Stegostoma tigrinum: one gene and its partners. The protein of the gene in region 2 binds, or shares a complex with, the protein of the main gene of each other region. Links are inferred from orthologs where the notes say so. Each region holds a gene or a part of one and is shown on either strand. Other genes may lie near its edges.

What was found.
Region 1: med18 (region 2) and med21 share a complex: the UniProt entries of both Homo sapiens proteins name them as parts of the mediator complex. The link is inferred for Stegostoma tigrinum from reciprocal best matches to the Homo sapiens genes MED18 and MED21.
Region 3: med18 (region 2) and med31 share a complex: the UniProt entries of both Homo sapiens proteins name them as parts of the mediator complex. The link is inferred for Stegostoma tigrinum from reciprocal best matches to the Homo sapiens genes MED18 and MED31.
Region 4: med18 (region 2) and ccnc share a complex: the UniProt entries of both Homo sapiens proteins name them as parts of the mediator complex. The link is inferred for Stegostoma tigrinum from reciprocal best matches to the Homo sapiens genes MED18 and CCNC.

What each region holds. Positions count from the first base shown.
Region 1 is NC_081371.1:59,248,299-59,256,318, reverse strand, and holds the start of med21 (mediator of RNA polymerase II transcription subunit 21), read right to left. Parts: upstream 3,083-8,020; 5' UTR 3,023-3,082; coding exon 2,981-3,022; intron 1-2,980. UniProt on the Homo sapiens protein: Component of the Mediator complex, a coactivator involved in the regulated transcription of nearly all RNA polymerase II-dependent genes.
Region 2 is NC_081377.1:42,903,411-42,911,376, reverse strand, and holds the start of med18 (mediator of RNA polymerase II transcription subunit 18), read left to right. Parts: upstream 1-4,702; 5' UTR 4,703-4,793; intron 4,794-4,832; exon of another isoform or gene 4,833-5,312; intron 5,313-5,354; exon of another isoform or gene 5,355-5,844; 5' UTR 5,845-5,869; coding exon 5,870-5,942; intron 5,943-7,966. UniProt on the Homo sapiens protein: Component of the Mediator complex, a coactivator involved in the regulated transcription of nearly all RNA polymerase II-dependent genes.
Region 3 is NC_081380.1:46,203,026-46,211,085, reverse strand, and holds the start of med31 (mediator of RNA polymerase II transcription subunit 31), read right to left. Parts: upstream 3,246-8,060; 5' UTR 3,089-3,245; coding exon 2,998-3,088; exon of another isoform or gene 2,860-2,997; intron 2,239-2,859; exon of another isoform or gene 2,147-2,238; coding exon of another isoform or gene 2,107-2,146; intron 1,540-2,106; exon of another isoform or gene 1,510-1,539; coding exon of another isoform or gene 1,464-1,509; intron 1,138-1,463; coding exon 1,063-1,137; intron 573-1,062; coding exon 476-572; intron 1-475. UniProt on the Homo sapiens protein: Component of the Mediator complex, a coactivator involved in the regulated transcription of nearly all RNA polymerase II-dependent genes.
Region 4 is NC_081357.1:49,313,727-49,321,228, forward strand, and holds the start of ccnc (cyclin-C), read left to right. Parts: upstream 1-4,234; 5' UTR 4,235-4,430; coding exon 4,431-4,462; intron 4,463-4,704; exon of another isoform or gene 4,705-4,833; intron 4,834-7,502. UniProt on the Homo sapiens protein: Component of the Mediator complex, a coactivator involved in regulated gene transcription of nearly all RNA polymerase II-dependent genes.

The DNA of each region.
Region 1 (8,020 bases), on a different chromosome or scaffold from region 2:
ATGGGATTTGGACATCGCTGGCTAGTCACATTTATTGCCTGCTCCTTGAGAAGGTGGTGGTGAGCTGTCTTCTTGAACGGCACGTGCTGGAGGTAGACCCACAATGCTGTTCAGGAGGGAGTTCTCCAATTTCAAACAAACGACAAGGTATTTCCAAATCAGTAGGTGCGCAGCATTGAGGGGAACTTACAGGTGCTGGTGCTCCCGTGCATTTATTGTCCTTGTCCTTCTAGGTGGAAGTGGTTGTGGGTTTGGATGATGTTAAGGATCTTTGGTGAATTTCTGTAATGTATCTTGTAGACAGTATATACTGCAAAGCAGTCCATATCCAAATACATCAAGATCTAGACAATATCCAGCTTGGTCTGACAAGTGGCAAATAACATTAGTGTCATCGAAATGCCATGCAATAACCACCACCCTTTGACATTCAATAGTGCTGTAGTCACTGAATATCCCACCATCAACATCCTCGACATTATCATTGATCAGAAACTGAACTGGACTGGTCACATAACACACTTGCAGGTCGGAGGCTAGGAATACTGCAAAGAGTAACTCACTCCCGACTCCGAAAAGGCTGTCAACCATCTACAAGGCACAAGTCAGGAGTGTGATGGAATATTCCCCACTTGCCAGAATGAGTGCAGCCCTAACAACATTCAAGATGCTGGACACCATCAGTACAAAACAGCCGGCCTGATTGGCACGACATCCACTCAACCAATCATCCTCTTTGGTTATTTCATTGAAACTCATGCATAAGCATCTCTTCTATCATTTAATTAGACCTGCCTTTCAGACTATCACAAGCATTTCTTCCTTTGTTCCCTTCTCTTTTACCATGCCTCTGAAGTTGCCTGAAATCGTTTACATCTCTCAACTTTTGACAGCTCTGGTGAAATGTCATCAACCTGAAACACTGACTTAGTTTTTCTTTTTAGTAATGATGCTGGGCATTGACAATCTCCAGTATAAGAGAGGGTTTTGTTTATGTACAGTGATGACCTAATTCAATGGTGGAATATTCTCAAATGGATTTTTCTATCCCTAGCAAATTATAAAGCATAGATCAAGGCAAGCAGTGCAAATTATGAACAAGTTTGACAGTCTAATCACAAGGTTGGCTCCTACCCTTCATACAAATTACATAGGTTATTTGTTGACAGCACACTGATGTGTGAAAGATGGAAGACAAATTTAAAAATGAAACAGAACATGTGGGCGTGCAAAGATTCTAAACAGCAAACTGTTCAGTAAACAGTGTTTACTCTGATTCAGTTTTGTAGCTCACCTGAAAACACATCAGAGCTGAGTGGAAACAGACTAAATTACACTTACTTACAGACAAGGAGCAGACCATTCAGCCCCTCAAACACGCTCCACCATTTAACATGATGGCTAATGTGATTGCAACCTCAAACCCAACTCCTACCTCAAGCCACCAACCTTTCACCCCCTTGCTTATGAAGAATTTAATGTCTTCTGCCTTATAAACTATTCAAAGACTCTGCTTCCACTTCTTTTTCAGGAAGCGATGCTCAGAGACACTCCACCTCAGGGAAAAATAATTCTCATCTTTTGTTGAATGGGACACCCCTTATTTTTAAACCGTAACCCCTAGTCTAGATACTCCCACAAGAAAAAACATCATCTTCACATCTACCCTATTAAGATTAAATATTTGATCAAGTCACATATTCTTCAAACCTCCAGCTGGTACGAGCCTACTGTTTCCAACCATTCTGCAAAACAACCTGCCATCCCAGGTATCGGTCTTGTGAACCATCTATAAAATGCTTCCAATGCATTTGCACCCTACCAGAAGTAAGGTGGCTAGTGATGAGCACAGTACTTCAGATGCAGTCTAGCTAGTGCCCTGAATAATAAGCATAATCGCTCTACATTTGTTATGTTCAGTATCCCTTGCAACAAAAAGAAAATTCTATTAGATTTAATTACTAAATTAGCCATCGTTAAATGCTGAAGCATGCTTCAGTAATTGACATTACAGCCTTTTGTGATGCATACACAAGGACACTTAAGTCTTCTGCAACCTCATGCCACTGAGATACATCTATTTCTAAATATTCCTTAAAAGGGACAATTTTCATTCCAAGGTCTTTACCTTGATACTCACATCTGAAAATTCTCACCATATTTCAGAATCTGATTAGAACCCATCACATTCAGCAAGATCTCAAACACACAATATCTCGCTGCGTTGAAAATAGCTTGACAGCGTGCCTCAAATAGCCTGTCCAATTGAAGGAAGGGGAGCACCACACCGTCAAGGGACCGCTGCTGTGTATTTTATAAAGACTGATCAGGGCGGCACAGTGGCTCAGTGCTTGCACATTGTGTGAGTGTCGAGAGAGACAGACAGTGAGAGTGAGAGTGGGGTCGTCCTCCAGCAGTCCAAAGATGTGCAGGTTAGCTGGACTGGCCATGGGAAATTGCACGTAGTGTCCAGGGAAGGGTGGAATAGATGGGTTGTCGTGGGGGTGCGAAGACGGTCTGAGGGTCAGTGTGGACTTGTTGGGCCGAAGAGCCGGCTCCCACACTGGAGGGAATCTATGATTCTAAACGCAGACGCTGCGAATCAGGAACAAAGACAGAAATTGCTGGAAAAGCTCAGCAGCTCTGTGAAGGAAAAGGCAAGAGTTAACGCTTAGGGGCAGGGGGCCCTTCCTCAGAACTGGACCCGAAACGTTACCCTGCACAGACCTACTCAGCTTTTTCCAGCAATTTCTGCGTATTTGATGCTGTATTAAACGAACCCCAGGCTACAGGAGGGGAGCGGCCTTCAGCCGTTGCGGGTGTTTTGGCCCTGGTCGGCATCTTGGTGGGCACGAAGACTGACCGCCCCGCAGAAGGGCGCTCCCCCGTCCCCATAACCCGCTGGGCGGGAGCGGCGCTATCACATCGGGCCCACTGCTAACCCCGGCCTCAAGTCGGGACTCTGGCCGCTCGCCCTCACCGAGTTCACGGCGTCCTGCAACTGCGTGAGGCGGTCCGCCATCGTCCAGCAAAAAGCCAACAAACCGCCCTGGCATTGGAGGAAGCTCGGGTCTACTCCCAACCAATCGTTCTCCGCTTTACTGCTAGGTGGTAGAACTGACCAATCAAGTGTCAGGCCACCACGACGAGCGGCGCGGAGCTACCCAGTCAGAGCGGGCGACCGGATAACGTAGCCAATCATCTGGGGAACATTGCGGGTAAGACGACCAATCAGTAGCTAGACTTCGATTCTCCAATAAGAGACGGGGACATTAAACCAATCACAAGGGCTATATTCACAGTCTACCCAATCAGAACCACGGGCAGCCACAGGATGGTGTTCGCATTCCCCCAATCAGCAATCAGCTTGGTCAGGTCTTATTAGCCACAAATGAATCACTGAAAGGATTGAGAGACTATCCCTGAAGATTGAATGATTGATGATTGAGTTGTTGATTGATCGATTGTCACATGCACCGAGATACAGTGAAAAGCTTTGTTTATGAGTACATGCCGATCATAGCAAGCAAGGGATGTACATATCCTAAAGGCTCAGATAGGGGTCTACAGGGTACATTGCGCAGAGATAATGGGAACTGCAGATGCTGGATGAACACAGCAGGCCCAGCAGCGTCTCAGGAGCACAAAAGCTGCTTGACCTGCTGTGTTCATCCAGCTTCACACTTTGTTACATTGCACAGGAATGTGCGCTGAGCGAGATCAGCGTTACTTCGGGTTAGAGAGTCCGCTCATCAGGCTGATAATGGCAGGGAAGGAGCTGTTCCTGAACCTGCCCATTGGTGTGTTCAAGGCTTCTGTACCTTCTGCCTGAGATAGTGGGAACTGCTGATGCCGGAGAATCTGCGAATAACAAGGTGTGGATCTGGATGAACACCGTAGACCAAGCAGCATCAGAGGAGCAGAGAGGCTGACGTTTTGGGCCTAGACCCTTCTTCAGAAAGTAATATCTGCTGCCTGATGGTGGAGGCTGTAAGAGAACATTACCAGGGTGGGATGGCTCTTTGATGATGTTGGCTCCCTTTTCGTGGCAGCAAACCATGTATTAATGGTGTCCATGGATGGAAGGTTGGCTTCTGTGATGGTCTGGGCTGTACACACCACCTTCTGTAGTTTCTTACAGTCCTGGGCAGAGCAGTTACAGTACCAGGCCATTATGCATCCGGATAGTGTGCTTTCAATGGGGTGCATCTGTAGAAGGTGGTGAGGGACCTTATGGACATGCCAAATTTCCTGATCTGCCTGAGGAGGAAGAGCACTGTTGTGCCGCCTTGATCATCGTCTCTACGTGGGAAGGCCAGGACATGTTATCAGTTATCGTCACCATGTCAACATCAGGTCTGTTGATGTAGATGGGGGTGTGTCTTCTCCTTTCTGAAATAAATCATCAGTTTTGCCAGCATTGAGAGAGAGTTTGTTCTCATTGCACCACATCACCAAGCCCTCCATCTCCTTTCTGTATTCTGACTCATCGCTGTTAGATATCTGTTCCACTACAGTGGTGTTGTCAGCAAACTTGTAGATGGTGTTTGTTCAGAATTTGGCAACACAGTCGTAGGTGTGCATGGAGTACAGCAGGGGGCTGAGAACAGATCCCTGGAAGGCTCCAGTGCTGAATGTTATTATGAAGGGGGTACAGTTACCTATCCTCACTGATTGCGGTCTGTGGGTCAGAAAGCTGAGGATCCAGTTGCAGAGGGCGGAGCTGAGACCAAGGTTATGCAGTTTCGAGATCAGTCTGCCGGGGATAATGGTGTTGGAGGAGGAGCTGTAGTCAATGAGCTGGAGTCTGATGTTGGTACCCTTGTTGTCCAGATGTTCCAGGGATGAGTGCAGGGCTGGGGATACAGCATACGCTGTGGACCTGTTACGTCGCTAAGCAAATTGTAGGGGATTGAGATGGGCTAGGAGACTAGAGTCGATGTGGGCCGTGAGCAGACAAACTAGAAATTGTGAAAAAAGCTGGCAGTAAATCTTTCCAAGTGTTATTGTTGTGCCTTACATAAGGCATAGGTGCCAAAGTAGGTTATTCAGCCCATCCAGACTGACCTTAAGACCACAGGCGTTTCCCCAGACACCAGGAAGCCACACACAAAAGAAGGATCTTGGGGTGCTTACCCATAGATCCCTAAATGTAGCAAGACAGGTCAATAGGGTAGTTCAGAAGACATATGGGATACTTGGCTTTTTCCGTACTGGAGAAAATATACTTTATTCATAAGAATTGTGTACGTGCAAAAGATGGTAAAACAGTTCCATACAGTCTGGCACAACAGGATTTGCTGATCCTCAGGATGTCGGACTGAGATGCCGTTACTGAGCCATCTTCTTTCTTCAGGCCGCTGGGCACAGAGATCTCCCTCTGCACCTACTGGAAGAAAAGCCACGTGCACTTCAATGGAGCTGAGGTGGGGAGGGTCGAGAGTATTAAGTTCCTAGGAGTGACGATAACCAACAATCCGTCCTGATCATCCTACATAGGTAAGACCATCAAGAAGGCACAACAATGCCTGTTTTTCCTCAGGCAGCTGAGGAGGTTCGGCATGCCCATAAGGACCCTCGCCAACTTTTACCGATCGACCACAGAAATCATTCTGTGTGGGTGCTTAACGGCCTGGTACGGCAATTGTTGTTCCCAGGACTGTAAGAAACTACAGAAAGTTGTGAACACAGCCCAGACTATCATACAGGCTAACCTCCCATTCATGGACTCCATCTACACTTCTCAATGTCGTCGAAAGCAAACCAACATCATCAAAGACCCCTCGCACCCCAATAACAATCTCTTCCAAACCCCCGTCAGGCAGAAAATACAGAGGCCTAAAGAAACATACAAGAACTCCCTGCAATAGGAAGAATGTTGCGAACCTTAAAAGGGTTCAGAAAAGATTTACAAAGATGTTGCCAGGGTTGGAGAGTTTGAGCTTCAGGGAGAGACTGAATAGACTGGGGCTATTTTCCCTGGAGTGTTGGAGGCTGAGGAGTGACCTTTTCGACGTTTATAAAATCATGGGGGCATGGATAGAGTGAATAGACAAGGCTTTTCCCTAGGGTTGGGGAGTGTAAAACTAGAGGGGCATTGGTTTAAGGTGAGAGGGGAAAGATTTAAAAGGGACCTAAGGAACAACATTTTCATGCAGAGGATGATGTGTATATGGAATGAGCTGCCAGAGGAAGTGATCGAGGCCGGTACATTTACACTTAAAAAGGCACCTGGATGAGTACATGAATAGGAAGAGTTTAGAGGGATATGAGCCAAATGCTGGCAAATGGGACTAGATTTATTTTCAATATGCGGTCAGAATGGACAAGTTGAATGGAAGGGTCTGCTTCTATGCTGGACATCTCTATGACCCTTATCACTCTAAGAACAGCTTCTTCCCCTGATGTTATTAGATTGCTAAATGGACCTCTCTAATTTCGAATCTAATGTTGATCTTGCTTTGCGCACCTCCTGTGCAACCTGACCTTGTATGCCTCACTCTGTCTAAACGCCCTACAATCTGTATGTCCATGTATGATCTGCCTGCACTCTATGCAAAACAAAACATTTTAGTGTACTTCGGTGTGTGTGACAACAATAAATCAAATCAAACGTTCATCCTGCTCCATGTGCAGACCCTGGACTGGAAGATTACCTTGCAGGCCTCTGAGGAAAGCAGCAAGACTCTTAGAGATCCTCTGTGACACTGATCCCTATCACCTGCACCAGGACTGGGTTCTGCTTGCGTTTCTGGAGTTTGTCAAGCTTACCTGTTTGTCTCTCGCTCTCTCTTTCCCTCCCCCTTACACACACCTCATGAACACCGTTGAGGATAAAGAACCTCTTGACGTTCTACTGCCCCACTCTGGGATTGTTGGCCTGACTTACAAACTCAAGCCTCTAGAGACAGACTTGAGCTGAACATCTGAAGCCAGGCCACTGCACGCTGAGTCACAATCGACAGGCAAATAGGTTCAGAATAACCAGCTGCAGTTAGGGTGCTGAAACTCACATCATCATAAGAGGCTAAATGGCCTCTTTCTGTGCAGTAATTTCCTGTGATCGCAAGGTTACATTGTACATGCTAAGCTGCGAAGATAAAGTAACTGAAGGCTATGGATTGCTTGGGATTATATGTTATTTATAGATTCAAAATGACCACGGGGAAACATGAGGAATTTCAAAACGCAGATGGGAAATGAGACCACAGCGTGACCAACGTGAGGCCCAGGGTAGAATCAGATCGGACTTGATATGTAAACTATGTTTCTCTCTTCACAGACACTTCCAGACATGTTGAGTTTCTCTGGGACCTTCCCTTTTAATTCCAAATCCCAGCATCTGCAATATCATTGATAATAAAATGTGAGGCTGGATGAACACAGCAGGCCAAGCAGCATCTCAGGAGCACAAAAGCTGACGTTTCGGGCCTAGACCCTTCATCAGAGAGGGGGATGGGGGTAGGGAACTGGAATAAATAGGGAGAGAGGGGGAGGCGGACCGAAGATGGAGAGTAAAGAAGATAGGTGGAGAGAGTGTAGGTGGGGAGGTAGGGAGGGGATAGGTCAGTCCAGGGAAGACGGACAGGTCAAGGAGGTGGGATGAGGTTAGTAGGTAGCTGGGGGTGCGGGTTGGGGTGGGAGGAAGGGATGGGTGAGAGGAAGAACCGGTTAGGGAGGCAGAGACAGGTTGGACTGGTTTTGGGATGCAGTGGGTGGGGGGGAAGAGCTGGGCTGGTTGTGTGGTGCAGTGGGGGGAGGGGATGAACTGGGCTGGTTTAGGGATGCAGTGGGGGAAGGGGAGATTTTGAAACTGGTGAAGTCCACATTGATACCATTCGGCTGCAGGGTTCCCAGGCGGAATATGAGTTGCTGTTCCTGCAACCTTCGGGTGGCATCATTGTGGCACTGCAGGAGGCCCATGATGGACATGTCATCTAAAGAATGGGAGGGGGAGTGGAAATGGTTTGCGACTGGGAGATGCAGTTGTTTGTTGCGAACTGAGCGGAGGTGTTCTGCA
Region 2 (7,966 bases):
GAGTTGTTAAGAGTTTGGAAAGCGTCACCATGGACTGTGGAAGAGGTGGATTCCATACAAAGTTTCAAAAAAAGAGCTGGATAAATATTTGAAAGTGATAGATTTAGAAGGTGATGGAGGTAAGACTGCAGACTGGGACTGGCTGGGTAGCTTTTTCGGGAGTTGGTATAGACACGACTGGTCAAATGGACTCTTTCCGTAAAATTCTCTTAAAATCTACCGCTCTTTCTGTGGGGAAGTTTTTCCCAGGCTGATTTCACTTACTTTTGCATTACCTGGGAAGGAAGCTGCCTTATAGAGAGCAGAATATTCCGCTTTTAAGAATGCTGTCAGATCAAACACCAATCACTCGCTAAAGTGTTGGCCATTGGGCTTCTTGACCCAGAGGGTGTTGTGGCCCTGCCTGAAGCTGCCAGCCAATCAAAGGTCAAGTTGTACAGAACTGTCAGAGGGTCTGTGCTGCTCAAACACGAGGGGTAGCACCCGCGAGCAGGTGAGTGACTTTTGGGTGGGGGTGGCAGGATTATGGGGGCATTGGGGAGATTGGGCTTGGGGATCAGAGGCAAAGCCGCTAGTGGTCCGGGGTGAGGCTATGGCTTGTGGTTTTTATAATTCGATGCTGCAAGTCCAGGTATCACTCGGGGAAAGCTATGCTGCACTCCTTCACAATTTCAAACCCAGACCCGGTACACTTTACCCAGAGCAGGTGAAAAACAGGTGGACACCTGAATCAGCCGATTGGTCAGTGGGAAAACGCCAAACATAATATTGATCAAAGTAGTGAGGACTTTGACAAAGTGAAGAGATTTTAGTCCATTCCAACAGTGAAATTTGATTTGTCTTTTTGAAAGCATTTCACAAAAGAAATAAAAGACTTGACTGGTTCTCTATTGAAGTATTTATTTTATAGGAGTATACATGCAATAGTTTCACAGGGGTCGATGGCTCATGTCTGTGTGCGGTAACTGACAGACCTAAGGAACGACAACAATTCTGCTAGGGCTTGAATTGAAGATAACAAAGTGTGAGGCTTCTTCCTGTCCCGCAGGTCCGACCAGTCCCCCTCCACCGACACCCACATTCGCCTAGCCGAACTTGTCCTCACCCTCAACAACTTCTCTTTCGATTCCTCCCACTTCCTACAGACTAAGGGGGTGGCCATGAGCACCCGCATGGGCCCCAGCTATGCCTGCCTCTTTGTAGGTTACGTGGAATAGTCCCTCTTCCGCACCTACACAGGCCCCAAACCCCACCTCTTCCTCCGTTACATTGATGACTGTATCGGCGCCGCCTCTTGCTCCCCAGAGGAGCTCGAACAGTTCATCCACTTCACCAACACCTTCCACCCCTACCTTCAGTTCACCTGGGCCATTTCCAGCACATCCGTCACCTTCCTGGACCTCTCAGTCTCCATCTCAGGCAACCAGCTTGTAAATGATGTCCATTTCAAGCCCACCGGCTCCCACAACTACCTAGAATACACCTCCTCCCACCCACCCTCCTGCAAAAATTCCATCTCCTATTCCCAATTCCTCCGCCGCATCTGCTCCCACGATGAGGCATTCCACTCCCGCACATCCCAGATGTCCAAGTTCTTCAAGGACCGCAACTTTTCCCCCACAGTGGTTGAGAATGCCCTTGACCGCGTCTCCTGCATTTCCCGCAACACATCCCTCACACCCCGCCCCTGCCACAACCGCCCAAAGAGGATCCCCCTCGTTCTCACACACCACCCCACCAACCTCCGGATACAACGCATCATCCTCCGACACTTTCGCCATCTACAATCCGACCCCACCACCCAAGACATTTTTCCGTCCCTACACTTGTCTGCCTTCTGGAGAGACCACTCTCTCCGTGACTCCCTTGTTCGCTCCACACTGCCCTCCAACCCCAGCACACCCGGCACCTTCCCCTGCAACCGCAGGAAATGCTACACTTGCCCCCACACCTCCTCCCTCACACCTATCCCAGGCCCCAAGATGACTTTCCATACTAAGCAGAGGTTCACCTGCACATCTGCCAATGTGGTATACTGCATCCATTGTACCCGGTGTGGCTACCTCTACATTGGGTAAACCAAGCGGAGGCTTGGGGACCGCTTTGCAGAACACCTCCGCTCGGTTCGCAATAAACAACTGCACCTCCCAGTCGCAAACCATTTCCACTCCCCCTCCCATTCTATAGATGACATGTCCATCATGGGCCTCCTGCAGTGCCACAATGATGCCACCCGAAGGTTGCAGGAACAGCAACTCATATTCCGCTTGGGAACCCTGCAGCCCAACGGTATCAATGTGGACTTCACCAGCTTCAAAATCTCCCCTTCCCCCACCGCATCCCAAAACCAGCCCAGTTCGTCCCCTCCCCCCACTGCACCACACAACCAACCCAGCTCTTCCCCTCCACCCACTGCATCCCAAAACCAGTCCAACCTGTCTCTGCCTCCCTAACATGTTCTTCCTCTCACCCATCCCTTCCTCCACCCCAAGCCGCACCTCCATCTCCTACCTACCAACCTCATCCCACCTCCTTGACCTGTCCGTCTTCCCTGGACTGACCTATCCCATCCCTACCTCCCCACCTATACTCTCCTCTCCACCTATCTTCTTTTCTCTCCATCTTCGGTCCGCCTCCCCGTCTCCCTATTTATTCCAGAACCCTCACCCCATCCCCCTCGCTGATGAAGGGTCCAGGCCCGAAACGTCAGCTTTTGTGCTCCTGAGATGCTGCTGGGCCTGCTGTGTTCATCCAGCCTCACATTTCATTATCTCAGATTCTCCAGCATCTGCAGTTCCCATTATCACTAGGACTTGAATTGAACCTGGGTACAGTATTTTCTGGGCTAACAAGGTGTGGAGCTGGATGAACACAGCAGTCCAAGCAGCATCAGAGGATCAGGAAAGCTGACATTTCAGGCCTATACCCTTCTTCAGAATTTTCTGGGCTGGTGTTGTAAATATTACCTGTAGGTGGATCATAAGGGCGCAGTGTTTGAACTAAGAGATAGCTTATGGATAAACTGTCCAATTTCACCATGTTAACATTTTCAAAAGAGGATTAAGCATCTCATACAGGCAATTCACTTAAATATGCATTCCCAAAAAATAGGCATTACTTAGGAAAACTGCAGGCAGTCATTGGATCAAAATATTCCAGCTGTTTAACGACTGTCCAGAGACTGAGCTCGGCAACCATATAAAGACTGGTACCAGTCTGTAAAATTGGGTCCTTTTAGGAAGGAGAGATCGGATATGTCAAGTTGCTGCTCAGGACCTTGGCCTCCATCAGAATATTCAGGTGTTTTTACAGTCTCCGGCTCAGCTTTGAATGCAACACTTTGAGATCAGAAAGATGTTTTCAGTCTCCAGCTGCTGGGAATGATTCTCTCTCTAAAGACATTGTGGGTCAAACCACATCAGGTGGATTGCAGCAGTTCAAGAAGGTAGCTCATCCACACCTTCTCAAGGAGTGCCTAGGGATGGGTAATAAATGCTGGTCCAGCCAACAACACCTACATCTGACAGTGAATAGAAAAGAAAGATTCAGCTTGTCTCATGTTCAACTCCCCCAGGGTCACTTTTTGTCACAGCAATGATGAGGGAACATTTCTGGGAATGGCCAGCAGCTCAGCGACACTGCGGGATGTCAGGGTTCAAACATGGACTTCTTGTTTATTCAGGATCTGGGGCAGGGAGAGGGGTGGGGGAGGGGAGGAGGTAAGGAAGGGGAGGGTTTAGGGGTGGGGAAAGGTGGGGAAGGAGGTTGGGAGGGGGTTAGGGATGGGGAGGAGGGGAGAGTGGAGGTGGAGGTTGGGAGGGGGGTAGGGGTTGGGAGGGGGGTAGGGATGGGGAGGAGGGGAGGGGTGGGGAAGGAGGTTGGGAGGGGTGTAGGGATGGGGGAGGGGGTGGAGGTTGGGAGGGGGGTAGGGGTGGAGGAGGGGGAGGAGGTTGGGAGGGGGGTAGGGGTGAGGGTGGAGGTTGAGAGGGGGGTAGGGGTGGGGGAGGGGGTGGAGGTTGGGAGGGGGTAGGGGTGGGGGTGGAGGTTGGGAGGGGGTAGGGGTGGGGGTGGACGTTGGGAGGGGGTGGAGGTTGGGAGGGGGTAGGGGTGGGGGTGGACGTTGGGAGGGGGTGGAGGTTGGGAGGGGGTAGGGGTGGACGTTGGGAGGGGGTGGAGGTTGGGAGGGGGTAGGGGTGGGGGTGGAGGTTGGGAGGGGGTAGGGGTGGGGGTGGAGGTTGGGAGGGGGGAGGGGGTAGGGGTGGGGGTGGAGGTTGGGAGGGAGGTGGGGTGGGAGGGGGTAGGGGTGGGGGTGGAGGTTGGGAGGGGGGTAGGGGTGGGTTGGGAGGGGGTAGGGGTGGGGTGGGTGGGGGTGGAGGTTGGGAGGGGGGTGGGGTGGGAGGGGGTAGGGGTGGAGGTTGGGAGGGGGGTAGGGGTGGGGTGGGAGGGGGTGGAGGTTGGGAGGGGGGTAGGGGTGGAGGAGGGTAGGGGTGGAGGTTGGGAGGGGAGGGGGGTAGGGGTGGGAAGTGAGAGGAGTGAGTGGAGGATGAGAGGGGAAGGAGGTAGGGGGAGGTGGGGGCTTGGTATTGGAGGGGTGGGGGAGGGGGGTGGAGGTAGGGAGCGGGGTAGGGACGGGGAGGAGGGGAGTGGGGAAGGAGGGAGGGGATGGGGGGGGTGGGGCCGCGGGGGAGGGCGAGGAAGCGATCTTGGGGAACACAAATGATGGGGCACCCTATACATTTCCGGTTCCGGTTTCCGCCCGGACGGTATTGGCGTCTGCACGCGGGTCACTTCCGGTGAGGTTCCTGGGACCGAGAGACAAATACCCCCCCCCCGCTCTCGGGGGGGGGGGGGGTAATGCCGGCACGATCCTGTCACACATTCCCCCCCACCCCCCCTCTCCAATGTTTCCTTCCTCCTCCAGCATCCCGGTCTCCCGTCTCTGGAACACTGCCCCCGATGTCCTGGGGAGATGTGACTGTGTTCAGGGGAGGGGGCTCTGTCACTCATATTAAATTGGGACAGTTTCCATGCTCCCGTGGGGCTGCGCTCTCATTCTGAGAAGTGACTGATGTTGGTTTAACCTGGGGGTTCCCCTGGGTGAGGGTTGAGGTCCCCCCTGGGTGAGGGTTGAGGCCCCCCCTTGGTGAGGGTTGAGGTCCCCCCCCCCAGTGAGGGTTGAGGTCCCCCGGGTGAGGGTTGAGGCCCCCCCGGTGAGGGTTGAGGCCCCCCCTTGGTGAGGGTTGAGGCCCCCCTGGTGAGGGTTGAGGCCCCCCCTTGGTGAGGGTTGAGGCCCCCCCTTGGTGAGGGTTGAGGTCCCCCGGGTGAGGGTTGAGGCCCCCCCGGTGAGGGTTGAGGCCCCCCCCGGTGAGGGTTGAAGTCCCCCTGGTGAGGGTTGAGGCCCCCCCTTGGTGAGGGTTGAGGTCCCCCCCCTCCCCCCCGGTGAAGGTTGAGGTCCCCCCGGTGAGGGTTGAGGCCCCCCCGGTGAGGGTTGAAGTCCCCCCGGTGAGGGTTGAAGTCCCCCCGGTGAGGGTTGACGTCCCCCCGGTGAGGGTTGACGTCCCCCTGGTGAGGGTTGAGGTTCAGATTCATGGTAACCTCAGCTGGTGTGGGAAGTGGACATGAGAGATGTTGGATCAGCCACAATCCTATTGAATGGCAGGGCAAGCTCAAGGGGCTGAATGGCCTCATCCTGCTTGTATTTCCTGTGGCATTATGTTGGCATAACGTTGTATATAAATCAGCTATCCAGAAAACCAGCCCCTATGTTACTGAAACCCTGGTTTTCAAGATGTCCACTTTTCAAACATTCCAGTCTCTTCACAGCATCTTTCCCCCTCCCCACAGGTAGGTTTCCTGGAGACTTGTCAAAATGGAGGCCCCTCCTGTTACGGTGTTACCTGTCATTGGTGGAACCATTAATATGATGGAATATATTCTTCAAGGTATGAAATGTGGCCCTGTTAATTTTACTGTAAAATGATTTCAGCAGATAAGTAACTGGGGTTTCAGAACTAAAACAGTTCTTCAGTGATTGGTACGTGAGTCAGAATGAGTAGACATTCTGCCAGGTTGCTCCTTGTGGGTAATATTCTATTATACCTTGTGTCCTTAACTGTAAAGTAAAGTCTCTATTCTGTGAGGACCATATGGCTGCCCTCATTAGAGAGAGAGAGAGAGACGACTGATCGTGGTTTAACCTGACATTGCTGGAGAACCACAGATTATTCTGACATAATGGGAACTGCAGATGCTGGAGAATCCAAGATAACAAAGTGTGGAGCTGGATGAACACAGCAGGCCAAGCAGCATCTCAGGAGCACAATATAAGATATTCACTTCTCTCAGCAGTATAATGGTTGCATTCTGCTCATTGTGAATAAATGTTAAACAGGTTAGACAGTTCCAATAAGTGTGCTCCATATTTGGTTATTATCCTGTCAATTTTATTCCCACCATTTAACTTGAAAGCTGTAGATGTGTTGGAGTCTTCCACCTAGCCACTGGCATTGAGGAAATTTGCACTTTTCCTCCTCTTGACCCAGGTTATTTGAGGCCATTTATAGTGCCCTGAATGCCAGCGAAGCTCCATACAAACCTGGGACCTTGCTGGGTAGAAATGTTGTTACTTGTCCTGCTGAATTATTACTCATGTTCTAATCTTTGATATTTGTAAAAATTATGACAAAGCCTTATTTTTCTCTAAAAAAACCCCCAGAATAACGGGATTCGAATGTTGTTGAAAAGAGAGATGTATTACTGAAGTTTTTGCATTGTGTTGATCAGGACAATTGCAAGAAATCCTAATTTTTAAAAAAATTCATTTGTGGGATGTGGGCCTTGTTGGTTGCCAGCATTTCTTACGCATCCCTAGTTGCCCTTGAGAAGGTGATGGTGAGCTGCCTTCTTGAACCGCTGCAGTCCGCCTGCTGTGGGTTGACCCACAATGCAATTAGGGAGGGAATTCCAGGATTTTGACCCAGTGACAGTGAAGGAACGTCAATATATTTCCAAATCAGGATGGTAGTGACTTGGAGGTGGTGGTGTTCCCATATATCTGCTGCCCTTGTCCTTCTAGATGGAAGAGGTCGTGGGTTTGGAAGGTGCTGTTTGAGGATCTTCGGTGAATTTCTGCAGTGCATCTTGTAGATAACACACACTGCTGTTACGGAGTGTCAGTGGTGGAGGGAGTGGAGTGGATGCGATGTGATGATCAAGCGGGCTGCTTTGTCCTGGATGGTGTCAAGCTTCTTGAGTGTTGTTGGGACTGTACTCATTCAGGAAAGTGGGGAGTATTCCATCACACTCCTGACTTATGCCTTGTAGATGGTAGACAGGCTTTGGGGATTCAGGAGGTGAGTTACTTGCTGCAGTATTCCCAGCTTCTGGCCTGCTCTTGTAGCCAGTCTGAGTCCAGTTGAGTGTCTGGTAAATGGTAACCCCCAGGATGTTGATAGTGGGGGATTCAGTGATGATAACACCATTGAATGCCAAGGGGCAGTGGTTAGATTGTGATCTTTTGAAATTAGGAATTTGAGAGAAAACAATTTATTTTCCTTTTATCCTGTAGTGTAAATTATTGTGACATTAAAAGGAAATGACGTTAAAGCTTTGGCAACATATAGTTGTACAGCGTAGAACCAGACCCTCTGGCCCAACTTGTCCATGCTGACCAGATTTCCAAAGCTAAACTAGTCTCATTTACCTGCTTTTAGCCCCTATTCCACTAAACCTTTCCTATTCATGCACTTGTCTGGATGTTGTAACAGCACCTACCTCTTCCTGTGCCCATTTAACTTGCCTCTCTATCAGCAAGATTCCGATTCAAGATTATCAAGTGTCCGTTAGAATATTAGAAATGTAAACGGAATGTTAGTGATTTCATTGTCAACAGTGACTAACTATTATAGCTGGCGCTTCTGCTTGGTATCCTCATATTGTTAAAGTCATTTTAATGATTGGAAACAAT
Region 3 (8,060 bases), on a different chromosome or scaffold from region 2:
TTACTCTGACAGACTCGGTTGTATAATGTACCGGAATGCATTTCATCCCAGTGAACAGCAGACGCCTTCAGGCCAGGAATGGAATGTATGGCATTTGGGGCTATCCTGGATACGAATCACAGAATGCCGACAGTGTGGGAACAGGCCCTTCGGCCCAACAAGTCCACACCGCCCTTGCAGCATCCTATCTAGACCCATCCCCCTATAACCCACACACCCCTGAACACTACAGGCAATTTAGCATGGCCGATCCACCTAGCCTGCACATCTTTGGACTGTGGGAGGAAACCGGAGCACCCGGAAGAAACCCACGCAGACACGGGGAGAATGTGCAAACTCCACACAGACAGTCGCCCGAGGGTGGAATTGAACCCTTGTCCCTGGTGCTGTGAGGCTGCAGTGCTAACCACTGAGTGGATATTGATCCCACGACAAAGATTACTGTGAAAAGCTGTCCAGTGGGGTGGATACTTACTTCAGGTACTTGGCATATTCTGGCTCCTTCCAGTACAGGAGATACTTGAAGTAATTGACAAACGTTCGGTCTCTGAAGTACCCTCGTTGTGCCAGAACTACCACATTGAAACAAAAAGAAAATTACGGTATTGTCACCAGCACTAAGGTAATGTTGAAGAGAGAATGATACTGTTAACTGGCGAGTACCATCCCCAGGGCATGGGGAGGTAGCTCCTTGTCATTACAGACATTACTGCATCAAAGTGAGTGGGTCTATTACGCTCTTCAGGTGCATGGCATCTACGCTTCACTGGAGCAGACACTTTGGTGCTCAGTGCCTCCTGCACTTCCCCTTCCCCACCCAGGGCTTCGTTTCAAAGTTACATCAGAAGAGACTCACTTCCCTCTCTATCTATGGGTCCAAGTCTGGTTCAATCACAGACATGCTTCAAGAGGCTGGCGATAACACTGATGTGCTGCCTCATGCAGAAGGGAGAAAGCGTCCTGTCGGTAGCTGTGATGAAGCTCAGTGGTTTCTTACTTTACCATGTCACTGCTGGAAACAGCAACTGGCCAATGGTCCAGGGGAATCCCACTGGCACTTACAGTTCAGATAGTTCGGGTTCGCCAGACACTGCACAAACTCCAGCTCCATCTCAAATCGTAGCTTTGCCTGTTCCTCTGGGGGTAGAGAGAGTGAGAGAGAGAGAGCAGAGGGGGGAAAGGACAAGTTACTCATTACCTTAAGGCATAAATTCAACCAAAGTCATCACAAATAAGATAAAATATAAAGTAAAATGATTTTTGTTTGAGAAGGGGGTTTACGGGTTAAGGTCAGACAGGCAAGTCAAGTTGAAGCCTTAGTCAGATCAGCCAGGGTCTTACTGACAGGCAGAGTAAGCTCGACGGTTCAAGTGACCTCTTCCTGCTGCTACTATCTTTTTTAATTTTGCAATCAAGGAAGTGGCAGCCAATGTACACACGGCACGCTTCGCAGGACAACGTACTATCATTGCAGCATGACTTCAAATCCAAACAATAAACGTAGATCATATCTTCTCCAGGAATTCTTATCTTATTTACCTTCGGATAAAACAAAAAAAAACTCTGTGAATGCTGGAAATCTGAAACAAAAAAAAACTGCTGGGGAACTCAACACTTCAGAACTTCTGAAGAAGGGTGACTATACTGGAAATGTTAACTCTGTTTTCTCTCCACAGATGCTGCCAAGCCTGCTGAGATTCTCCAGCTATATGCTGTAGTTTTTTTTAATTTTGTTTTACGATAGTTTGAATCCATTGTATGACTTAATCACATGGAGATTGATGACCTTGAATATGCAAGGCCCAGTTCAATGCTTGGTGCAATGTTAAAATATACCACCAGACCAGGAAGCTCAGCCTCGGTATGAGCTCAGGGAGGGACCTCAAGTGAATCACAAAGGCCCCAGCTAGAGTCAAGGATACATATTAAGCTGCAGTCATACTCTTGCAATTCCTAGTGGTGTGAGAGGGCACATGCACGTGGGAAGGAACAAATGTATCAGATAAACACTAGGTCAAACTCAGGTGTGATGCGAGTGTCCATACATTGATGCCTAAACTCCTACATAAAAGCCCCTCTATTTTACAGTACTTTGGATGTACCTACCCCAAAGGAACTGGAGTGGCCCAAGAAGGCAGCTCACCATAAGCTTCACCACAGCATCTAGGAGGCAGGCATTAAATGCTCACCAACCAGCAAGGTCCACATCCCATGAATAAATTTTTTTTAGGAGCTTAGCTGGAGGAACAAAGGTATTGTTTAATCAGTAGGGGCCAATGACCAAGTTTGGTGAAATAAACAAAGCCTGTATTCTGTGGAATGCAGCATGTTAAAGATGTGATTTTGATGGAGTATTTTGAAACAAGTTGATAAGGAAAAACATCTGGATGTGAGTTTGCTCGCTGAGCTGGAAGGTTAGTTTGGTGACGAGACGTCTGAAAACTAGGTAACATCGTCAATGAGCCCCCGGTGAAGATCCAGAAACTCAACCTGAGTTACAAATCTTCTCAAAACTCGCTAGGAAAAACATTTCAATGTTTGGAGTTGAGTTCAGGTTTACTGGGCATTATCTTAAATTCAGAACCAGGTTAGTCAGCAGAGGAGGCATGTGTGGATCTCTACCCTACAAAAAAGGGAGTTGATTCGAGGGCCCAATCAACCGTTTTGTATCTGAGATCACTAGAGTGCTACAACAGAGGAGCACTACGTGTAATGGAGATAGAGTACAGAACAGCCACTGTCTCAGTTAGTGCCAAAACAGGCTCTTAGCATCGTAGTAAAGGCCATTCGGCCCATAGAAACTGTACTACCAACCACTCAAGGGGCTGATTTGCCTCTTTCCGTTACTGTTATCTTTACCCAGAGTCAGCAGCAAACGTCCCTCTCTCCCAGTTTCAAGAGTGAACGAGAAGGCCCTTACTTCCGCCCCGCCCAATCATGGAGCCAGATATTTCCGCCCCGCTCGCTATCACGTGGCCGCTAACTTCCGCTCCTTACCTGTCTCCATGGTGGCTGGTGCAGCCGCCATTGTTTGTTTCTTCTCTCCGCCTCCCGCTCGAAGAGATTCGGTGTAAACAGCAGCCTCCATTAAGCAGGTCTGACCCTTCTCTTAATCGGTACTAGTCACAGCACCTACCTTCTCGTCAGTTCAAACTACCAGAATGAATAGAACTAACGAGCTGCTCGCAAGCGGGTCACTTCTCCCGATAGCAGCTGCCAACTGAAGTAATTCCACTCCGACTTACAGTGGGAGTCAGTGCTGCCCCCTGGGCTGGAGGATAATCAGGAGGAGGTGGTGCTGCCCTCTTGGCTGGAGGACCATCAGGAGGAGGTGGTGCTGCCCCCTAGGCTGGAGGATAATCAGGAGGAGATGGTGCTGCCCTCTGGGCTGGAGGACCATCAGGAGGAGGTGGTGCTGCCCCCTAGGCTGGAGGATAATCAGGAGGAGGTGGTGCTGCCCTCTGGGCTGGAGGATAATCAGGAGGATATGATGCTGCCCCCTGGGCTGGAGGATAATTAGGAGGAGGTGGTGCTGCCCCCTAGGCTGGAGGACCCTCAGGAGGAGGTGGTGCTGCCCCCTAGGCTGGAGGATAATTAGGAGGAGGTGGTGCTGCCCCCTGGGCTGGAGGATCATCAGGAGGAGGTGGCGCTGCCCCCTGGGCTGGAGGATCATCAGGAGGAGGTGGTGCTGCCCCCTAGGCTGGAGGATAATTAGGAGGAGGTGGTGCTGCCCCCTAGGCTGGAGGATAATTAGGAGGAGGTGGTGCTGCCCCCTGGGCTGGAGGATCATCAGGAGGAGGTGGTGCTGTCCCCTGGGCTGGAGGACCCTCAGGAGGAGGTGGTGCTGCCCCCTGGGCTGAAGCATTGCCCCTGGGAAAGAGGGGAAGGTGGGGCAGTTATGTCTATCAGAGGGACCCTGATGCAGAAGGAGTCTGGGCTTGGGATGACTGTGTTACTGCGCTGAACATGTTGAGAGAATGTGGTGAATGCAGGCTCAGGGTTTCCTGTACAGGATGCATGTTTCTGGGAAGGGTTAGAGAACAGAGGGATCTGGGGAAATGACAGGGAAGTGGAGTTAAGGATAGGCCATCATCACATTGACTAGCTGAGCTGACAGGGGCAGTGTGGTAGTTCAGTGATTAGCGCTGCTGCCTCGTGGCGCCTGTGACCTGGGTTCGATTCCAGCCTTGGGTGACTGCCTGTGTGGAGTTTTCACATTCTCCCCATGTCTGAATGGGTTTCCTCTTTCCATATCTTAGGTGGATTGTCCATGCTAAGTTGCCCCTTGTGCCCAGGGATGTGTAGGTTAGATGGGTTAGCCGTGGGAAATGCAGGGTTACACGGATAGGGTAGGGGTTTGGGTATGAGTGGGATACTATTTAGATGGTCATTGTAGGTTTGTTAGGCCAAATGGCCTGTTTCCACACTCTAGGGATTCTATAACAGACTTGATGGGTCAAATGGCCTCTTTCTGCTCCTACACCCTTATGGTCAGAGATAGGATGGGGGTAATTCCAAATACTGTTGTGTTTGTGGTATTCTAAAGCAGAGTCTGGGTGTCAAACATTTACCTCCTATAGTGACTGGAACCAGGTGGATCTCATTGACTATGAGGTCCTTGGTTGGGGTTGTTAACCTGGGCCAATTAGGAAGCCCTGGCTCAACAACATAAACAGGGGATTTAGAGGAGCTGGCTGACCACAGCCTGTGCACAGTGCACATGTAAATAAATGTGATGGGATACCAGCTTCCGTGCAGTTTGTTCACCACCGTCCCCCCCCACCCCCAACCTCTCCCTCTCCCTCTCCCTCTCCCTCTCCCTCTCCCTCTCCCTCTGTGGATGTTGTCAGGCATGTTGAATGTTTCCTGCATTTTTTCACCTTCCACCTCTGGAATCTCCGGCCTTCCCATATCTTAAATGCCAATCCTTTGGACTACATTAAGGTTTTGTCATCATCTCTCGCTCCACCTTTGTGTTTTCAATTAGGCCCTGGGACATTTTCTAGCATTGAAGGTGATTCTTTCGGTACAATTTGTGGGAAATGTTTTGTGGCCTGTCTAGTTTTGAGGTGTTAATATTTTTGTTGTGACTCAAGACAACATTCTCATGTCAAGGGAGCTGATCACTGACATTCACCACGCAATGACCCAGTTGGCTGGTTTAAAAGCCCAGGACACACTGGGTTCAGCTTGGAATGAATCTGCTGAGACACACCTACCGAGTGTGAGCAGCACAGCGGAGTTTATTTGGATCATACCTGATGCTTGAACAAATAAGATTAAGGCTCAGTGTTTCTGAGGGGGTGCCAGACTAATATAGGGACAGGCTGGTTGAGAAGGCATTTAGCACGCTTGCCTTTTTTTTCTCAGACCTTTGAGTATCGGAGTTGGGACGTCATGTTAAGCTTGTACAGGGTGTTGGTGAGGCCACTTCTGGAGTACTGTGGTCGCCCTGCTTTAGAAAGGATATTATCAAACTGGAGAGGGTTCAGAAAAGATTTGCCAGGATGTTACTGGGAATGAAGGATTTGAGTTATAAGGTGAGGCTGGATAGGATGGGGCTTTTTTCCCTGGAGTGTAGGAGGTTGAGGGGGTGACCTTGTAGAAGTTTGTAAAATCATGAGGCATGGATTGGTTGAGTAGCCGAGATCTTTTCCCCGGCGTTGGGAGTTCAAAACGAGAGGGAATATTTTTAAGGTGAGAGGAGAAGGATTTAAAACAGACCTGAGGCACAGATGTTTCACACAGAGGGTGGTGCATGTGTGGGATGAACAGCCTGAGGAAGTTGTTGATGTGGATGTAGCTACAACATTTGGACAGGTACATCAATAGGAAAGGTTTCGAGGGATATGGGCCAAACCGAGGCAAGTGGGACTGGTTTAGTTTAGGAAAGCTGGTTCAAAGGGGCCATTTCTGTGCTGCACAACTCTGTGACTAGTGTCCTCACAATGGGCTGAAGGGCCTTTCTCGGGACTGTTGTGTACAAATGAGGCCATTCGATCCCTCATATCTGCTCTGCTAGGCAATAAGGTTGTGTCCTCTGCATTTTCCTGTCTGCCCCCAGTGATGGCTACACTCGCCAACAATCTATCTACCTGTCCACCTGGCCTAGAGGGAATGTCACTCCAGCAGGAGGCCCCCTACTTTCTGACTCTTTCTCTGTCGTCTAAATGTAGTGTTTGCCATCTCCTTCAGCCCAGTGTTTCAATTTCCCGGTCGTTGCTGAACTCAGCCTGCCCCATGCTCAGGTGGAGGCCATTGAGCCTGGCCTGTGTATACTAGCTACCCAAATGATCACCTGGTACCACTCTCATGCACCTCACATGTGCAGAAGTATTAAGCTTCAAGAGGAAGCCATTTGGCCCATCATGTCTGCTCTGCCTCTTCAAAGGAACAATCATCATCTGCCTTGATTGAACCTGCCTACTCCACTCACTGAGGCGATGCATTTGTAGAATTCCCCGATGGTATGGGAGCAGGCCCTTCACCCAGCAAGTCCACAGTAACCCTCTGAAGAACCAGGCCCATCCTCTATTCTGTCCCTGCATTTAGCATGGCCAATCCACCCTAGCCTGCACACCTTCGGACTGTGGGAGGAAACCGGAGCACCCGGGGGAACCCCACGCAGACACAGGGAGAATGTGCAAACTCCGTACAATCGCCCGAGGCCGGAATCAAAACCGGGTCCCTGGTGCTGTTTGGCTGCAGTGCTAACCACTGAGCCACCGTGCCGTGCCATTCACTGTATGAAAACATTTCTTCTTGCGTTACTCCTGTTCTTTTACTGATTACTTTGAGCATTGTCCCCTGCGATTAAATATGATTCAGAGTCTTGTCATGCAGTTAGCTGTAACTGCTTGCAGTGTGCTGTTTAATGTGTATTTATGTTTTGAGCCTGCAATTTGGAGAGAAATTACCCTGTGTTTTAACTTAATGTGCTTTGTGAGCGTGTACCTCACTGTCCTATTTGACCCTGAGCTGAACCTCTGACTCCATGCCTGTCTGCGTTGCTGACTTTTTCTGCTGTAAACATGCCCCTTGAGTTTGCCCCATCTGCTGCTGATCCCCTCACTCCTGTCTTTCTCATCCGTAACCTTCCCTGTTCTATGAACTCTCCTCACTTCATCTGATACTTAGCTGCCAACACCTAACTCTTACTGAGTCCCATACTTCCTGTACTCGCTGTCCTACATTCACTCCCAGTTAAATAAATTCTAAAAATTCTCGTCCTTGTTTTCAAATCTTTCAGGTGAGTGAGTCCCTGTCTTTCTGCACACCCTTGGAGTGCTGTTCTTGTACAGATTTTATTCGTCCCAGCACTAGTGGCTTTCAGCAGCAGAGAGGGTCCCAAGCTCCATATCACCCCTGCCCAAACCATTTCAGCCTTCGATCCTCTAAGATTTGGGGCGGTACGGTGGCTCAGTGGTTAGCACTGCTGCCTCACAGGGCCAGGGACCCGTTTTCAAATCCACCCTCGGGCGACTGTCTGTGTGGAGTTTGCACATTCTCCCCATGTGTGTGTGCGGGTTTCCTCCCACAATCCAAAGATGTGCAGGCTAGGTGGATCGGCCATGCTAAATTGCCTGTAGTGTTCAGGGGTGTGTGGGTTATAGGGGGATAGGTCTGGGTGGGATGCTTCAAGGGGCGGCGTGGGCTTGTTGGGCCGAAGGGCCTGTTTCCACCCTGTAGGGATTCTATGAAATATCATGTTCAAAGATGCTCAGAGACAGCAAGATGCTGGGGTCTGAGATAACAAGGTGTAGAGCTGGATGAACACAGCAGGCTGAGCAGCATCAGAGGAGCAGGAAGGCTGACGTTTCAGGCCTAGACTCTTCATCAGAAATGGGCTTTCCTCTTCCTCTGATGTTCCCTGGCCTGCTGCGTTCCTCCGGCTCTGTTCAAAGATACAGCTCGGTTTGTCAGGCCTCAGTGTCATGCTCTGTTTGCTGAATCATTCCTGTGAACACCCCCCGCCCCACCCCGGGGATGTGTATCTCTGATGGGGACCCACAGGACCACAAAAAACTATTGTTTGGCCCAGTGTGTGCTTCACTTTGTGT
Region 4 (7,502 bases), on a different chromosome or scaffold from region 2:
TTAACATTCCATTTAACAGTGAGAAATCTGGGTCAGAACCAATTGTGATAAACATAAGTAAGCATAATTACTTAGGACAGAGGACAGAATTAGCTGGAGTGGATGAGTAAGGGAATTTAGCAGAAAAGATGGGAGAGAAACAATAGCAGGAATTTATGAAAATAATTCATGACTCATAAGAAAGATATATGCCAGTAAGGAAGAATGATTATGGGAAAGGGACAAGTTAGCCATGTTAAATAGATAAGTCAACAATAAAGTAAAATATGCAATGAGGCAAAGATTAGAGTTAAACCAGAGGTTTGAGAAGGTTTTAAACTAACAGAAAAAATTGAGTTAAAAGGGAGAAAATAATCTTGAAGGTAAACTCGCATTTACCATCAAAATGGACAGCAACAGCATCTTTAAATATACAAAATGGAAGAGAAACACCGAAGTGAAGATAGGCCCTTTAGAGAATGAGGCTGGGGAAATAATAATGGTAACTAGGACGTGGCAAAGGAGTTGATTAAATACTTTGCACAGTTTCATAGTAGAAGACATTAATACCATTACAAAATTACTAAATAATCACGGAGAAAAAGTGAGAGAGGAAATAAATACAATAACAATCACTGGAGAAAAAAGGGAAACTAATGAGGCTTAAAGCTAATACCTGTGGGTTGCATTCTAGGATATTATAAGAAGTGTCAACAGAGATGGTGGATGCACTGGTAATAATCTTTTGAGAATCTTTAGATTCTGCAAAAGTCCCAGACAATTGGATAACTACCAATGTAACACCTTTATTCAAAAAGGTTGGTGAGGGAGCCAAAAAAACAAGTAATTATAAGACCATAAACTAAAGGAGCAGAGTTAGGATACTCCGCCCATTGAGTCTGCTCCAAAGTTCAATCATAGCAGGTATGTTTCTCAACTCCATTCTCCTGCCTTCTCCCTGTAAGCCCCAAACCCCTGACTAATCAAGAACCCATCTCCATCTTAAAGACACTCAATGACTTGCCCCTCACAGTCCATTGCAGCATTCAGTTCCACAGATTACCAATCCTCTGAGAAATTTCTCATCATCTCAGTTCTAAAGTGTCATCTCTTCATTCTAAAGTTGTACCCTTGAGTCCTAGTCTCTCGTACTACTGGAAACATCTTCTCCATGTCCACTCTGTCCAGGCCTCTCAGTATTCTTTCAGCTCCCCCCTTCAACCTTGTCAACTCCATCGGCGACACACCCAAAATCCTCAAATGCTCATCATATGACAAGTCCTTCACCTCCAGGATCATTCTTGTAAACCTCGTTTGGAGCCCCTCCAAAGCCAGAACATCCAGTCTTAGATAAGGGGCCTAAACTGCTCACAATATTCCAAATGTTATCTGACTGGAGCCTAATATAGCTTCACCAGTACAGCTAGCCCTCTTGAAATGAACAACATTAAAGTTGCTGGAAAAGCCCAGCTGGTCTGGCAGCATCTGTGAAGGAAAAAAATAGAGTAAGCGTCTCAGGTCTGGTAACCCTTCCTCGGACCCTTCCTCTTGAAATGAATACTAACATGGTATTTGCCTTCCTAATGGCCAAATGAACCTGCATGTTAACTTTAAAAGAATCCTGATCTAGGACTCCCGAGTTCCTTTGTGCTTCAGATTACCGAAGCCCTTCTTTATTTATAAAATAGTTTATGCCTCTTTTCTTTTTACCAAAGTGCATGGTCTCACACTTTTCCACATTGTATTCCAGCTACCACTTCTTTGTGTACTCTTCTAGTCTGTCCTTCTCCCCACTTCCCCAACACTAACTGTTCCTCCATCTTTGTGTCATTTTCAAACAATAGCAGCAATGGTCGTAGATCATTCATTGAGATCACTCATGGATAACCTGAATTATTGTCCTCACACTGACCCCGAAGGAACTCTACTAGTTTCAGGCTGCCATCCTGAAAATGATACACTTATCCCCACTCTCTGCCTTCTGCCAGTCAGTTAATCCTCTGTCCATGCCAGTACCTTGCCCCTTATACCATGGGCACTTGTCTTATTTATCAGCCTACTGCATGGCACCTTGTCAAATGCTTTCTGGAAGTCCAGATAGATAATGTTCACTTTCCCTCCATTGTCTAACTTGTCTATTACCTCCTCAAAGAATTTTAAGAAACGTATCAGGCATGACCACCCCTTGATGAGGTTATGCAGACTCGGCAATATTATACCTTGCACTTCCAAGCACTCTGTAACCATATCCTTAATATAGGTCTCTAAAACCTTACCAATAACTGAGGTCAAGTGAACCAGCCGATAATTTCTTGTTTTCTACCTCTATCCCTTCTCTGTGACCGTCCCTGACTCCAGTGATTCCTAAAAGATCATCACCAATTCCATCACAATATTCTCAGCTATCTCCTTCAGAACTCTGGGGTGTAATCCATCTGGTCCAGGTGATTTATCAACCTTCAGATCTTTCAGCTTCCCCAGAACCTCTTTAGTAATGGCCGCTACACTCACTTCTGTCCTGTTTTGAAGTTCTGCTATGTTACTGGTTATCCCCACTGAAGACTGATGTGTAGTACCTGTTCAGTTTTTCTGCCATTTCATTGTTTCTCATTACTACTTCTCCAGCCTCGTCTTCCAGCAATCCAATGTCCACTCATCGTTCTCTCTGACATTTTATATAGCTAAAAGAACTATTTTAATCTTTTTTAAGTCACTAGCTAGCTTACCCTCACATTTCAAGTTCTCCATCCTTATTGCTCTTTTGGTTGTCATCTGTAGGATTTTTTTAAAGGCTTCCCAATTCTCTAGCCTGCCACTAGTCTTCACGACGTTGTCTTTTGCTTTTATGTTGTCCCTAACTTCCCTTGTCAACCATGGTTGTCTTGTCCTCCCTTTAGCATGTTTTTTCGTCCTTGGAGATGAATTTCTACTGTGCCTCATGAATTACCCCCAGAAGCTCATTGCTGTTCCACTGTCTTCCCTGTTATGCTCCCCTTCCATTCAACTCTGGCCAGATCCTCTCTCATGTCTTTGTAGTTACCTTTCTACAGTCATAATACCATTATATCTGATTCCAGCTTCTCCCTTTCAATCTGCATTGTATCGTACTATGGTCACTGCCCATTGGGGTTTCTTCATCTTAAGCTCTCTAATCAAGTCTCCTTATTACACATCATCAAATCCAGCCCTACCATAAGCAGTTTCAAAAAACGTCTTGTAGACATTCCACAAATTCCTTTCCTTGGGATCAGCAAACAAGCTGATTTTCCTAGTCCACATGCATATTGAAGTACTCATAGTTATTCTAACACTGCCTTTCTACATGCCTTTTCAATCTCCTGATTTATTTTCTGCCCATGTCCTGACTACTAATGGGAGAGCCAAGGATTGGGAGCATGAAATTGCTTTCCCAGTCTTTCCCCCTGCCCATAACACCCATGGTTTCTTTGCATCTGTTTTACATTTGTGTAGGGATAGTTTTATAATAGTAGAGTTATTTGTTGGCAATCTACACTACAATCTATTTTATGTGGAATAAGTAATGATTCTTGCTAAGTGTTTAACCTAGTCCATGCTTTCTGTCAACCTGGATCTAAGACAGGTAAATTTGAGAATTTTGCTGAGTTTAAATATAGACTTTAACTTTGTGATGATTCTGGGAATATCAGGACCTGATTTCAAGCACACTACCCCAGTGAGTTATGACAATGTAGCAGGAACATTTAAAATATTAAGATCACTCTACCGTCTGAAGGGAGTTCCAAGTATAATTGTGTCTACAGAGACTAGTGAGAGGCAGGAATAATTTCCACCTGTACTTCAAAAGGATCGCATACCACCTGAGATGTATACCTTCATGTTGTAGTAGGGGTCAGAGACTCATTCTTTTAACTATTTTGAAAACAAATTGGAAAATTCAAGAGGAAACACAGTACAGACATAACAAGGTGTAGCTGGATGAACACAGCGGGCCAAGCAGCAACAGAGGAGCAGGAAAGGTGACGTTTCAGGTCTAGACCCTTCTTCAGTTTCTACTATCTCTCACCACAGTACAGACATGTATGTTTATGTGTTTATTTTAAAAATCATAAAAATTCTTATTCTTCTTATCAAACCATTTAGTATTCTACAGTCTTTTTTAAAAAAAATGAAATCTTCTGTGTTTAATCATATAATAAAGCTGTTTTCTCGAGTGTTGAGGAACTGACAGCGAGTAGAGTTTTTGGACTCATCTGCAGCTGCTTTGACTCGCCCGGAAGACTTTTATTGGGAACTTGTAGCGTGAACTCGGATTCCTTGACGGAATGATTTAGGTGTTACATAAGGCCTAAAAGGCCGAAATGAAGATTTAGGATTTGCATTTTACATACACTCGGGGAGTGAAAAAACATTGGAAGAAGAAAGATTAGCGAAGCCCAGCGAGACGCGGCCGGGGTTTTGGTTGAGAGGAGATGGCGGGGAATTTCTGGCAGAGCTCGCACTAGTGAGTGTTTGATCTTTAGGCTGAGGCCTAAACACCAACAGAAAAAGTAGATTCTAGAGAATTATTTTCAAAGCCTCTTATTTCAGACGCGCACGTCTTGCTGTCTGCATTATTTCTGTAATTTATTTCGGTGAAGCTGCTGCATTACATTCCGGCCTGTTCTTCTTGTTCCAATCTCTTTTAAATGTGAAAACAGACTTTTTTTGGGCGGGGGGAGGAGAGGCGATGAAGTCATTCGTAGCAAAGAGATAATTAGATTCTTCATGTATCTGTTTCGGAGTGGGGGTGTTGGCTTTTGTTTTGCCTAGGGATAGCAAAGCCAACCTATAATTGCTGTATTTATAAACATCTTCAGAAAATCTAGTGTAAATGTAAGTGAAATATTACCATAACCATCTGATATAATGGGACCGTAGGGCTAAGTGGGAATTCTATAGTGAAAGTCTATAACGTCTTAATGCTGTAATTTTTTCTCAATGATATGATGAGGTTTTATATATTTCTTGCGTTTTTTGACTTCTAACATGTTATTGTCTTCGCGATTTCGTGGCCACGGAAGCTGCTTAAGTATTTGCTTACGTTTAGAGGTGATTCATTTTATGAATGAATGTTTTCAAGAGATGTGATGCATTTTGTGCGAACTGCATAACTGTCGTCAGTCGAGCTGTGTTTTGTATATTTCTACTGTTTCATTGTTTCAATGTGAAAGCTTTTTGCGGTGGCCAAACACGAGGTAGCCATCCACACAAACAACAATTTGCCTACAAAATAGTGTGTCAGCAGCTTTTCTTCCCGACAAGTCTAAAATCCGATGAATAGCTGCCGAACAAAATTTTCACAGCCCATGACTTGAAATCCTCGAGTCTTCATAATATTACCATTTTAAACGTTTCATTATCAGAACAAGTAATCTCTTTATTAGTGCTGCCTGCAAAAATAAACACATTCACACACTTTGGAATACAGATATTAATCTCTAACAATCCCTGACAGATCGTGGCTCTCCAAATGCAGATGTAGTCTGTCAGAATTCTGATTCTGCAGATGCAGGAATAGGCTTGAATTTTAACCTAAAAATTTGGTAAGCAAGTTTTTTGCCATTGGTTGGTTGGAGTCAGTTAGTTTGTTCAAGAGGCTTTTATAAAAGAAAACAAACTGTGAAAAGCTGATCTTTAAATAGTTATTTTCTGGGATGCAAGTGCTGTTGGCATTTATTAACCGTTATTTTTTCTAAAAAAAAATGTATTCATGAGCTCCTCATGAGAAAGTGGTAGTAATCTGTGTCCTAGAACTGCTGCAGGCAATAGAGTCGTCGAGCTGTCCAGCATGGAAACGGGCCCTTTGGTCCAACTTGTCCATGCTGACCAGATATCCTAAATTAATCTGGTTCCATTTGCTGGCATTTGGCCCATATTCCTCTGAACCTCTGTACCCATCCAAATGCCTTTTAAATGTTGTAACTGTACCCACCTCTACCACTTCCTCTGGCATCTCATTCCATGCATACACCACCCTTTGTGTGAAAAGGTTGCCCATTAGGTCCCTTTTAAATTTTTCCCCTCTCACCTTCAACTATGCCCTCCAGTTTTGGATTCCCCTATCCTGGAAAAAAGACCATGGCTATGCACCCTATCCATACCCCTCATGATTTTATAAATCTCTATCAGGTCACCCCTTAGCCTCCGATACTCCAGGAAAATAAGCCCCAGCCTGTTCAGCCTCTCCTTGTAGTTCAATCCTCCAATCCCAGCAACTTTGGAAATGGATCTGGCTTTTGCTCCGAACCCTGGGAAATAATCTCCCCCAATAGATTTTAAAAACAGTATATCTCTGATAGAGAGGGAGATGGTTCCCAGAGGACTCCGGAACTAACTGCCTTCCTCTTCTCTGCCTGATGATCACTTATCCAGTTTCTGCCTGATCCATCTTTAGCTGTGAAGCTGGATAAACACAGCACGTCGGACCACATCGGAGCAGGGAAGTCAACATTTCAGGCTGATGTGGCGTTGGTATACCTGTAGCGCTGTTAGTAAGGGACTGCAGGTTTTTGATCCAGTGACAGTGAAGGAAGATGAAATATTTCTAAGTCAGGATGGTGTGTAGTTGCTGTGGTACTTCCAGGAGTTTGGTTTTCCCTTGCATTTGCTGCCCTTGTTCTTCTTGGAGTAGGTGTGGAAGATGCCGGCAAGGGATATTTGGTGAAGTGCTTTATTTTATAGATCATACATGTGGCTGCCGTTTTGTGTTTAGTGGTGAAGGGAGTGAAAGTTAAGGTCAGGGACAAGGTAGTAACCTCGTGGGCTGCATTGTTTCAGATGGTGTTGAGGTTTAAAATGTTGTTGGGACTAAACTCCTTTGGGTAAGTCAACAGTATTCCATAATTGATAATGGGAACTGCAGATGCTGGAGAATCCAAGATAATAAAGTGTGGAGCTGGATGAACACAGCAGGCCAAGCAGCATCTCAGGAGCACAAAAGCTGACTTTTCGGGCCTCGACTTTATTCCATCATATCCTTGGCTTGTGCTTTGGGTAGTGAGAAGATAAGTTAGCGAGTTTTGAGAAGATTTTGTAGCTCAGGTTGAGGTTCTGGATGTGAGTTTGCTCGCTGAGCTGGAAGGTTCGTTTTCACTATCCACTATCACTAGTATCCTTACATACAGATGAGGAAGGGCACCACTTTGATTGGGACAACACATCCATCCTAGGACAAGCCAAACAGAGACACGCACGAAAATTCCTAGAAGGATGGCATTCCAACCGGAACTCCATCAACAAATACATTGATTTGGAGCCTATCTACCATCCTCTGAGAAAAAGAACAGGAAATGACATCACCAATGCAGGAAATGACATCACCAACCCAAGGAAACCTAAACAGATAAATAAAAAGCGGGACATTAACACCAGCGCTTCACTGGCGGCTCACTGATGTTACCTAGAATGGTGACGAAACATCTGAAAATGAACCTTCCAGCTCAGCAAGCAAACTCACATCCAGAAGATGAGTTCCCTGTCTCAGAATTTCCAGCCTCTGACCT